Linked DNA regions of Caenorhabditis elegans. The protein of the gene in region 3 interacts with the protein of the main gene of each other region in a pairwise test. Each region holds a gene or a part of one and is shown on either strand. Other genes may lie near its edges. The genes, in order: ntl-2.1, ceh-34 and eya-1.

The links.
Region 1: the proteins of eya-1 (region 3) and ntl-2.1 interact in a two-hybrid assay, tested with the Caenorhabditis elegans proteins (2 studies listed by BioGRID).
Region 2: the proteins of eya-1 (region 3) and ceh-34 interact in binary tests that used the Caenorhabditis elegans proteins (3 or more experiments, as listed by UniProt).

Annotation. Positions count from the first base shown.
Region 1 is NC_003280.10:4,374,544-4,378,296, forward strand, and holds the start of ntl-2.1 (NOT2/NOT3/NOT5 C-terminal domain-containing protein), read right to left. Parts: upstream 1,916-3,753; 5' UTR 1,858-1,915; coding exon 1,848-1,857; intron 1,169-1,847; coding exon 1,049-1,168; intron 806-1,048; coding exon 686-805; intron 499-685; exon of another isoform or gene 464-498; coding exon of another isoform or gene 445-463; intron 156-444; coding exon 25-155; exon of another isoform or gene 5-24; intron 1-4.
Region 2 is NC_003283.11:5,317,390-5,321,142, forward strand, and holds the start of ceh-34 (Homeobox protein ceh-34), read right to left. Parts: upstream 2,189-3,753; 5' UTR 2,048-2,188; coding exon 2,013-2,047; intron 1,408-2,012; coding exon 1,317-1,407; intron 169-1,316; coding exon 1-168. UniProt on the Caenorhabditis elegans protein: Acts as a transcription regulator. Binds to the sequence motif 5'-TCAGGTT-3'. Binds to the cis-regulatory element of proapoptotic factor egl-1 gene and together with eya-1 activates egl-1 expression to promote motor neuron M4 sister cell apoptosis.
Region 3 is NC_003279.8:14,229,735-14,233,487, forward strand, and holds the start of eya-1 (Protein phosphatase eya-1), read right to left. Parts: upstream 1,627-3,753; 5' UTR 1,509-1,626; coding exon 1,491-1,508; intron 1,297-1,490; exon of another isoform or gene 1,255-1,296; intron 1-1,254. Other genes in the region: clec-114 (PAN-3 domain-containing protein), read right to left, coding at 3,301-3,397. UniProt on the Caenorhabditis elegans protein: Tyrosine protein phosphatase. Acts probably as a transcription regulator in the embryonic and postembryonic development of several tissues including pharynx, vulva and gonads. Required for the development of anterior tissues during late embryogenesis.

The DNA.
Region 1 (3,753 bases), on a different chromosome or scaffold from region 3:
TGACATTAAATTAAATTTAAGTACGTTAGCCAGTTGATCTCCAAGCATTGATCGCTGTGTTTGACCAGAACCGACGCCGGGAAGCGCGGGAAAATCCTCGTTCTGTATTTGGAACTCGGGATTTGTTAGACTGGGGTCCGATCTCATCAGGTTAGCTGAAAATTAATTTTTGCATGGTTTAACAACACAGGAACACGACAAAAACTGCGAAAATTCGGAGAATTTTTATGGAAATTCTGAACGAAAAATCTCTGCGGGGTACGGTCGATCATGGAATACGCAACCACCGTCACGGACTTTTGCACACATTCAATATTGATTTTTCTTAAATAAAAAATAAAATTTTCCAAAAGAATTCGGCGGTTTTTTCTCGAATTCATCGGAATTTTGCAGTAAAAATGAGTAAATTTTATCAGAAAATTTGCGTTTTGCCTAAAAACTCACGGAAAGAAGTTGCCAACATCGAAAAATTGCACAATTGCGTTCAAAACAGAATGAAACACGCATTGTAATTTTTAAAATGTTCAATCAGAATTTCGCGCGCGCGCATTTTCAAAGAGCAAACAAAAATTGATTTAAAAAAAAATATATATTCGCGGTTCACAACCAGCTATCGTACTTTTTTTTTTAATTTTTGATACTTCATGCTTTTCATCACACAGAAAGAGAAAAAAGTAAAATTTACCATAATTGGGTCTTTGTGCGCCGTAAAGATCTCTCGACGGCGATGACTGGGCAACGTTCAAAACACCTCCGCTCGTTGTTGGGATTGGGGAGAATCCGCCGCCGCCGAGTGAGGACGTTCCTGAATAGAAATCGATGAAATGCCTTGAGAAATGAAATAATTGTTCTAATTTTTTTTAAATATTGATAAAAAGGATGAAAGATTCAAGGAAAACATTTCCGTGGACTTCCACACAAGCAGGTCAAATTTAATATTTTAATTTTAATTTTTTTCCATTTAACAATAAGAATGAGAGTTCGACAGTGAGTTTTTCATAGATTTAAGAATATTCTCAAGCTAATAAAAAAAAATCAGTGAATTTACCTTTCGCGCCCAGTGATGGAAACTGGGACTCGTCAATAATTGTTGCGTTGGAGTGAAAGTTGGAATGCGAAAGAAATTGCTGCGTTTGAGGCAATCGTCGTTCGGTAGCTACTCCACCGACTGAAAATAGGCTTTGGTTAATTTTAATTTAAAGTTTTCTTTCTGAATTTAAAATTATTTTCATGCGATCGATAATTCGAATTAATCGATTTTCCGCATGGATTTATTCGGATGGGTCTCGCCACGAACACACTTTGATATTCACGGTTTTTTTCGACAAAAACGTTAATTTTCGAAGGATTTCTCACGGAAATAAGACGGAATTATTCCCCAGGCTCAAATTTTTGCACCACACCAAAACTCGACCCGGAAATGTTTTTAACGCGAAAAGGTGTGTGCGCCTTTAAGAAGTATTGTAGTTGAAAACTTGTGTTGTTGCAGAATTCTCATCGATTTTTATTATTTTTTCAACCGATTGTTTCCAAATTGAGTTTTTAGAATAAACAAATATATTTTTGTTTGAAAACTATGAAAAATCGATGAAAATCTTGCAGCAACAAAAGCTTGAAATTACAGTTCTCTTTAAAGGCGCATAGCCTTTTGCATTTAGGGAAAATTTGTCGTGTCGAGACCGGGAGCCGTATTTTTTGACGAAAAACCGTCTCGGTAATAGGAAAGAGGTTCAAATATGAATTTTGGTTCACTGGCAGGGTCCATCAACAGGAGAGCTTTTTCATCCAGAATTAAGATCTTCGCGGCGAGACCCAGATATCTGAAACCTTCAAAAATCAAAACTCACCAGAATTCATAAGCACTGCGCTTATGGTAAATCCTATGCGGAGAGATGGCTACGTTCTACTCATAAATCTGAAAGAAAATCGATTTTGGTCACCAGTTTCGCATGCGGTTTAGACGGGACGGGGAGGGGTAGATCAATTGAGAAAACATCTGAAGTCGAAGAAGCGTGTCTAGAACACGATGTTGATGATGAAGCTGATTCACAAAAAAAAACACAGTCACATGATGGGCTGAGATGATGATCAGATCAGAATCCGAAAAATTCAGTGCGGTCGTGGTGTTCGAAAATCGAAGAAAGCAGCGGAGAAATGAGAGACGACGACGAGAAATCGAACAATGCTGTGTGTGTATTTCCTACTCACTCTCTCTCTCTCACGTACCCTCTCCTCTCCCTCAACCATTTTCTCTACTGTCTCCGCCGCTCTCTATCTCTCTTCTTCTCCATTTTTCTGTCCCCCATAGAGGCCGGCAGTCAATAGGGGCTGCAGTGTTACCGTACCCCCGAAAACCTGCAGATCAAACACGACGAGATAGTGTGTCGAGTGGAAGAGGGCGCGGAGATGCACGCGACTGCTCGCGGGCCGTACGATCGAGCGCGTTTGCTACTGAAGGGGGGGGGGGGGGGAGGGGGGGTTGGTTGACCTGACCTCTCTTTGCCTCTCTCTCGAAAATGGAATGAATGGGAAGAGATAGAGAGTTAGGAGAGAGGATGTGCAGAAGCACAGAGAAAGCTAATCAAACCGAATGTGGTCTTTTAGTAAAAGAAGTGAGAACGATGGACCCATGAGCACACAAGATGCTCCTTCCTCATTGATTTCTTCCCCCTCTCCTTACTCATTTTTCACTAAATCGGTCAACTGGAAATTTGTGTATGTAGCATGCTTCTTCTGATCTCTAAATCTCGGCCTTTTCTGGCTTTACTACAAAAAAAAACCAAAAAAATTGTTCAAAAAGCTCGTAAATAATTTAAATGGGGTTCGAGCAAGACACAAGGCTATGTGCTCATTTTGTGAGTATTTATTTTATGGTGCATCGTTCAGTTATGCAGCTAGATTTTTTTTGGTTTTTTTTTTAGATAAAAAGATGTTAAAAATTTTGGAAGAAAGTAGTTTTTGGTAATATGTTTTTCTACCATAAAAGTTGTGTGCCTTTTATCCCAATTTTACAATTTTGCACAAAAAATACGGTACCAGGTCTCGACACGAAATTTTTTTTGAGAAATGCAAGAAAGCGTGCACCTTGAAAGAGTACTGTAATTTCAAATTTGTTGAATTTTCCTTAATTTGTAATGATTTTCTCAGAGTTTGTCAATAAAAAAAAAGTATATTTTATAAAAAAAGTATGAAATCCCGCAGCACTAAAAATTTCAAATTACAGTACTCCTTAAAGGCGCACACCCTTTTGCAGTTAACAAAAATTTGTCGCGTCGAGACCGGATACCGTATTTTCGGGCGAAAACCGAAACCCTTTGCGTCCAAGTAATACCGAATTTTTAAGAATGATTTTTGGAATTTTTTGCTTGAAAAATTGCAATTAATTGAATTATAATTATTCTACCTAAGAAAAAAAAACCTAAGTTTTATGGTTTTTTTTTTGAAAAAAAAATTATTTGATTTTCAGATCAATCTAAAAAATTCTGAAATTCACTTGAATTGTCATTTTTCCAAATAGAAAACCAATTTTTTCAGAATTTTCATTAGGAATTTGTTGTTTTCCTAGATTTTTTCCCCACTTCCTTAAAAAAACCAAAAGTTCACAATGGAAATTTATGCAAAAATTGTGGCATTTACTTTGGTCTCCATAGTTTTTTAGATTTCATTTTTCATTCTGGAATAGTTTTGTGAATTTTTCCTGAATTTAAGAATTTTTCGGATTTTTAGGACGTTTTTAAGTACGAAAAATAGAAA
Region 2 (3,753 bases), on a different chromosome or scaffold from region 3:
AAGCCACAAATTTTGTAGAACTGTGTGATTATGTGGGGAAAACTTGCTGCATTCCAGTAACTTGTAGAGCATCTTCCAGTTTTGTGTTGTAAAATACACAAGAGCTTGTGCTTTTAAAACTGATTCCATTACTTGGTAGCATTGTGGAAGGTTGTAGATGAAATTGGCCTGAAAGTTGAAATATAGAATTTTTAATTTTTTTTTTTTGAAGCTGCTTTTTTCAGTACGAAAATCTAGCTTTTTGTATTAAAGTTTTGAATAAAAATTAATAAAAATGTAGGAAAACACCTGATTGAATCGAAAATGTTACTCATGTTTGTTGAAAAAATTGCGAAAAATCTCGAATAGTACTTGAAAATTGCCGTTTCAAGAAAAATAAATTAAAGTTTACAAATAGTTTGAAGCAAGTCTCTATGAAGTTTTCAAGAAAATAAATATCGCTTTCGAATTAATCGAATTTTTCTATATTTTGACATGCATTTTTAATTTCAAAAATTGGACCACCATAACTAATTCGACAGTTTTGTCAATTTTGCAGAACAACGTACTGACGCCCTTGTTAAATATTAATAGGATAGTTTTTTTTTTTTTAATTTTTAGATTACGTTGCATTGATGACCTTAAAAAATGTATTATTTTCCTGTTTAGACTTTCTCTTCCATTGCTTTACTATGACGGCTCATATCTTATCTGTGATGGATTTTATCAAAAAAAATTTCAAAGTCAAAATGTGTTATAGAAAAATATTTTCTATGTATTTTGTCAGTTGACAATTTGTTGATGAAAATCAAAAAAGGCAAGATATAATGTGTCAAAGTGGAGCACAGAAGTTGCAAGTTCAAAACGGTATCCCCATTTAGAATAAATCTAAATTTCTGTCTCTATAAGGTTCCAACATCTGCTCCCACTTTCCCCACATCGTCATCATCATCAAGCTTTCATCCATAATGGACTTTTGTTTGCTTTCTAGAAAGAAAAAGGGAAAAGCGCGCGTGCGGCAGCTACCGTACTCGCTTCCTTCTGTCACCTTTTTGCTTCACGTTTTTATCGTTCGACTCTTCCAAACTCAAAACCGCAAAATTCAAGCAATTGGAGAAAAGAGGGGGAGAGAGATGATCTTCAGTGAGAGACTACGTCAAATGTTTGTCAAAACTTTTGATAAGTGACACATGACACCTGCGTTCGAAGCAACAAGAAGGAGAAGATTATGATGAGGTAGGGGAGAAAATGATGATCGAAGCGAAAAGAGACGGAACCCACAAAATTCGCAACAAAATAAAAAATGAAAAGTTGATCTGAATTTGAAAGAAACTCACCAATTGCTCAGTCCGTCCTGTCTGAAGTCCCTCGTTGAATAAGGACTCACAAATACACACAATTTCTTGCTCCGAGTAGGATGTGGTTGCTCTGGAAATTCAAAAAATTAAAGTTTTTACGTAACTTGGAAAAAATAAACACTAAAAAATTCGGAGGGGCAAAACTTATAATTATTTTAGGCAGTTTTACAAAATAGCATATTGCGAAAAGTTGTTTCTATATTTTTTCATAAAATGTAGTGCCAAAATATAGAAAAATATTTGATTGATTTGAAAATAACATTCGCTCCCATTTAAAATTGTGTAGAGAAGCTCAAAAATTGGAGTTTTTGCCGAACTTTTTGAAACTGAAATTCGAACATTTTTTCGAATCAAACAAATATTTTTGCATATTTTGGAACTAAATTTTGAAGGAATATATTGGATCAACTTTTCGTCGAATTCGATCTTTGTTTTTGGAATTCCACACTCCTGATTTGAATTGAAATCCCCTTGAATTAAGGAAAAGAACACCACGGTGAAAAACGAACTCATTCGAAGACTGAGACGGTGGAAGGGGGAAAAGAATCCTCTAAAGTAAAACTATCGCTTGGCGCCACCGCCGCCCCATCGGTGTCGCGTTGCCACGTATACAATTACCAAAGAAGATCGTAACCCGAGCTTTCCCGAGTTGTTGCTTCAAGGATCTCAACTTACGTCAGACTATTTTGCGGGTTATATGACTGCTGCATGTTCGATGAGCCAGATCACAGAAGACGTGATCCTAAAAGATCCGTCGATCCGGCGCCGGTAGGAGCTGACAAAAAGAGAGTAGGTGGTGAGTGGTGCTGTGAGCCGAGAGCGTCGTCCTCTTGTCGTCCCCCAGTGAATGTCGCCTCCCCGTTGGCTCACCCCAGTGTGTGTGTGTGTGCTCTTGGCCACGCCTCTATTTTCTCCGTCGAATAGGAATGAACGAGCACCAAAAGATCGTACTGTATCAATGCTACCATTTTGGAAGTTTTCATGGAACTTTTGTGTGATAACAAATTTTTTGAAAAAATTGACACAGTGGTAATGGGAGATCTTGAAAAAGTAGGAGGAGGCCGCTTGGACCGGAGCGCAGAGTAAGAGTATCCGAGGTTTGAAATTCTAAACTTGCCTATTATTTTCTCATTGCCTTCCTTCTCGCGTCGTTTCTTCGGGCTAGCTCCTGGTTTCTTTTCGGGTTGAATCGAAGCAGCATACAGAGACATTCAGTAGTGTTAGGGAGACAGACGCCAGGAGTTGGAATATCATTTTACACCTGTACCGATATCTATTTCACCAGCTTCTGCCACACACAACCCGTACCACCACACTTATTTCACTCCCGCATTTCATAGTGATGATCACTTGAGTTTGATTAAATTTTTAAGTTTTCGTAGTGTGTATATCTACAAAATGACCTATTGCGCCATATTGCTCCAACATTTTTAATTAAAATTTAGTGTCAAAATGTAGAAAATCGCTTGTTTTATCTGAAAATAGCATTCATTTGTAAAAATCTTCAGTAATTGCCTGAAAAGTTGTGGATTGCAAAAAAAAATTATGCTCAATAATTCGAACCTTCGATAACCGGGAAATGACAACTTTCAGGTCATTTTACAACTTTCTCAAATGTTTCAGTTAAAATAAATACAATTAGCAAATAAATCAAGTAATTTTCTATATGTTGACTCTGTTTTAGGTTTAAAAAAAACTGGAAAAACATGGTTCTATCGTTCATTTTGTATAATTGCCAACAAATAATTGCCGCTGATTTTGAATGACTAAATTTTTGTGCTCGGAAAGTTTTTATTCCAAAATTCCAATTTTCGTTTTAGTTACCTGTTGAACAGTCTATCCCCTCTCTTTACCTATCGTCCATTGTCTCAAAACTATTATATCATACTCCAAGTACCTTGCGCAATCAAACATTGACTCTGGAGTCTAGATCAGAGGTTGAACATTTTTCTTCTACCAACTGCTAAAATCAAGATTGATTTCCACTTTATGCTCATTAGCTTTCTGTGTATCTTTTGACCATATTGAGCAGCATCATGCGCGGGCGCTTAGCCGTACAGATGTTCCAGTAAACCGGGTGCTTTCTTGTCCAAACAATGGCAGATGATAACTGGTTTACACGGTCATGTTTATGTACTGGACACACGTCCTTTACGAGAAGTGGCACTACAACTCGTGTTGCGTGAGCAATAACTGTACTTGGTGGACCTGTGAGTTTTTTCTGCACATTGACTGTAAAGTTCACTTGATCATTATTTTAGGAGTTGAAGTAACACTGTCTGAAAAAATCTGTCTTGCATTTTTCATTACTCTCAGCTCACTCCTTTCGTGGCAAAACCGGTCAACTAGTTTTAAGATTTTAACTATGTGCTCAAAAAAGTTCTGAGTAAAAAACTTTGAGTACATAGATATCTAG
Region 3 (3,753 bases):
TTCTTGCTATTCTAGTTTTAAAGTTACGAGGGTTTTAAAAATTTAAAAATAAGCGCCAGGAAATTTTCAAACTCATCTCTTATGCTCATTGAGCCATTTTCTGACTCGTGACTAAAATTTTCGACATGCCTATACCCAAATTAGTCTAAAACACCAAAAAAAAAAAATTAAGCCACAGCGCGGACTCGAACCCGGTCTTCTGCTTGGAAGCCCACCAAAATCCCACTGAGCCACTTGCACCAAATTTTCGAAATTTTATTTTTGGATTTTTTACTGCTTTGCCACAGAAATTGTGCATCGAAGAGCCCCAAGACCTCTGAATTCGATCCCGTCACCACAGGGGGTCCCCCCAACTGTTGCAAGTTGGCTAATGATGGCTATATAATGATGTAATATGGTTGCGTGAGGGGGTATCTAGACTCAACTGGGTATTGGAAAAAGACTAAGGGGTGCCTAAAATCAACTAGTCGCATAAATTGACCAAAAAAAAAATCCAAAATTTACAATAGGGATGTACATCATAATTTTTGATAATTTTTCTGATTAATGTCAGTTTAAAAGGCGATTCGGAGCAAGTTCCTAGTTAAAAATGTATCTTTTTGGAAAAATAGTGAAAATCAAAAATAAGTGTGCTCATTGAGCACCAGGTGACCCAGACATTTGTTTACGTGGATTATAAACTTCGCTAATTATTGATTTGTTTATTTTTCCGAGTTGCAACAAAGTTCGGAATTTTCTACTAAAAAACTTCAACCTAGAAGTTTAAAAGATAGAAATTTGAACTCAGCGCACTCAAATTAATCTAGAAACAGTAAAATGAAAAAATTGTGCCACAGTGCGGACTCGAACCCCGGTCGTCAGATTGGAAGTCATCCGAAATCCCACTGCGCCACTTGGACCAAATTTTCGAAATTGCGAAAAATGAAGAGTAAAAGCTCTGAAAAAAGTTTATTTCAGCTTAAAAATCTACATTTTTATCTGAAACCCCAACCCCGTACCATTAAAATTCGCAGTTCTACTCGTTTTGAGCTCCGAGAGCTTTTTTTCTGGGTTACAAGGAAATTAAAGCCAAGAATCATTTATATAGCTCATCCACACAAAAACAAAAATAAATGCTACAGCGGGGACTCGAACCCCGGGCTTCTGCTCGGAAGCTGTCCAAAAACCCACTGCGCCATTCAGGAACATTTTTAAGATTAGAAATATCGATTTTTCGAGTTTTTTAAATTAAAGTTCACGGTTTAGAAAACTCACAAAATACAGAGAACATTGTAGGAGAGGTTAGCTAGAACTGTCTAGGTACTGAATGGGGAAAGGAGGTACATGGAGGGGGGGGGGGGGGGGGGGGGGGGGGTGTCTTGGAAGAGCTCATCTTACAGACAGACCCTTCTCGCAGAACTTTCTCCAGTTTCATCACCATGCCGATATTTGATACTTTTGGGATGGGGTACCGGGCGCCCGGGGGCGCCCTGAAGCGACATATAACTCACCTCAGAATCTGGAAGCATTTTTTTTTTGATTCAGGAATTGCGAACAATTTCAGATATATAGATTTGGAAATTGTTGAGCAAAAATTTGAGCAACTGGCACGCAGAAGCAGGGAGAGACTGACTCTGATGTATTTGTGTGTGTGTGTGTGCTCTCGTTTTCTCTGCCGGCTCTCTGAGCTCTCGGAGCTCTCACCCCTGAGCTACCGTATGTCTGAGCCAGTCGGCTGTCTGCTCGGAGCTCCGCCTTTTGGTGGAAAATCGCATTATTTTCGGATTCTGAAAAATTAATTTTGAAAAAAAAGTTTTGTACGAGTGACTCAGTGGGATTTTGGAGGGCTACCAATCTGACGACCGGGGTTCGACTCCGCACTGTGGCATAATTTTTTTTCTTTGTTGGTTCGACTATATAAGCCCTGCTGAACACGAATTTTTAACATACAAATTTTTAACTTTTTATTGAAAATAAACTATCAAGCTTAAATTTTAATAGCTCATTGCACCTAGCACACATGAGACATATGCTGAACAGTCCCAAAAAATGCTCAAAATTTTTAAAAATCAGCTCAAACCTCGATTTTCTGAAAATTTGCTCGAATGGCTCAGTGGGATTTTGGAGGGCTTCCAATCTGACAACCGGGGTTCGAGTCCGCACTGTGTCATAAATTTTTTTATTTATTGGTTTGACTATACAAGCCCTGCTGAACACGGATTTCTGACTTATATACTATTTGTAATAACATTTTCAACATTTTGGGGATATATATATATCCCTTCGAAGCTTGGTCTCCAATAGCTTGAACAACTTTAAAACAAGTTCAAAATTGGAAAAAAAAAATATATCGAAATTGCTGAAAAATCAGCTCAAACCGTAATTTTCAAGTTTTTCTGAAAATTTGGCCGAATGGCTCAGTGGGATTTTGGCCGGCTACCAATCTTACGACCGGGGTTCGAGTCCGCACTGTGGCATGAATTTTTGTTTTGCTGTTCTCAGAATAATACAAATCTCCTGAATTCGAATTTTCAACTCTCAAAACCAGAAAGACTTGCTAGGTCGGCTCAAACTTAATTTCTTTTTGTGTACGAGTGGCTCAGTGGGATTCTAGCCAGCTACCAATCTGAGGTCCGGGGTTCGAGTCCGCGATGTGGCATAATTTTTTTTTTGGTGTTATTCTACTAAATTTCGACTTTCCGAGTTCGAATTCGGTCAAAAATTAGACATTTCCACACTGCTTTGTGATTTTTTCGAACTTTTATACCTTCTCAAAAAATCGATATTATTTGTTGATTTTACCCCCTTCCCTTATTTTCCTCTCATTTCTGAGAGTATAGGGAGATGGGGAGCGTGCGAAAGCGGCGAAGCGATCATATTTCAGTTTTCGGGAGCACAGAGTCGAGACGCTGACTTCAATTTTAGTAGTATATGGGACGAGGGACGATTTTGCAATGGAATATTGATTTTGGAGGAAACCCATTGAGTTTTAAGGCATGGGACCTTGAAATTCGGATTCAGAATGTCGATATTAGCCAAATAACACTAAAACAAAAAAATATGCCAAGGCGCGGACTCGAACCCAGGTGGTGAAATTGGTAGTCACCCAAAATCCCACTGAGCCAGTCGGACAAAAAGTTGAAAAGTTCTAGAAAATATGAAATTTGAATAGCAAAATAAAATTAGAAGTCTTAATAAGAAGTTTTCAATAATTCAGGTACTGCTTTCAAAAATTAGCAGGTCGAATTCGGAAACTCTCGAGAAAAATGCTTCTGTGGGCTTCTCGAACAGTTTATGAACCTGGAAGTTTGAAAAATAAAATTAAAATGTTGAATTTAGACTAGTGGGCTTCACTCCGCAGACGTATCCTTTGTAGCATATATTTGTGGGTACCAGCCCTGCGGTTGACATGTTGCATCTAAAAAATTCGAATATTTGGAAAAAATTGGATTTTTTAAATAAAAAAATTCACAAAAAATGGTCCAACTGGCGCATAGTGAAAGTGTTATATTCCTTCCCTTTCCCAAAAATGTCAATTTTTCGAGAAAAAACATTAAAGCTCAAGTTTCCATAGCTATGTGAGCTTAGAAGAGCGTCAGAGTATGCTGAAAAGCCGCAAAAATATCAAAAATTGTTGAAAGTTAGAAAAAACCACGTTTTCCAATAATTTTCAGAAACATGTCCAAATGGCGCAGTGGGATTTTGGCGGGCTTCCAATCAAACGACCGGGGTTCGAGTCCGCTTTGGCAAAAAAAATTTTGTTTTTGAGTTACT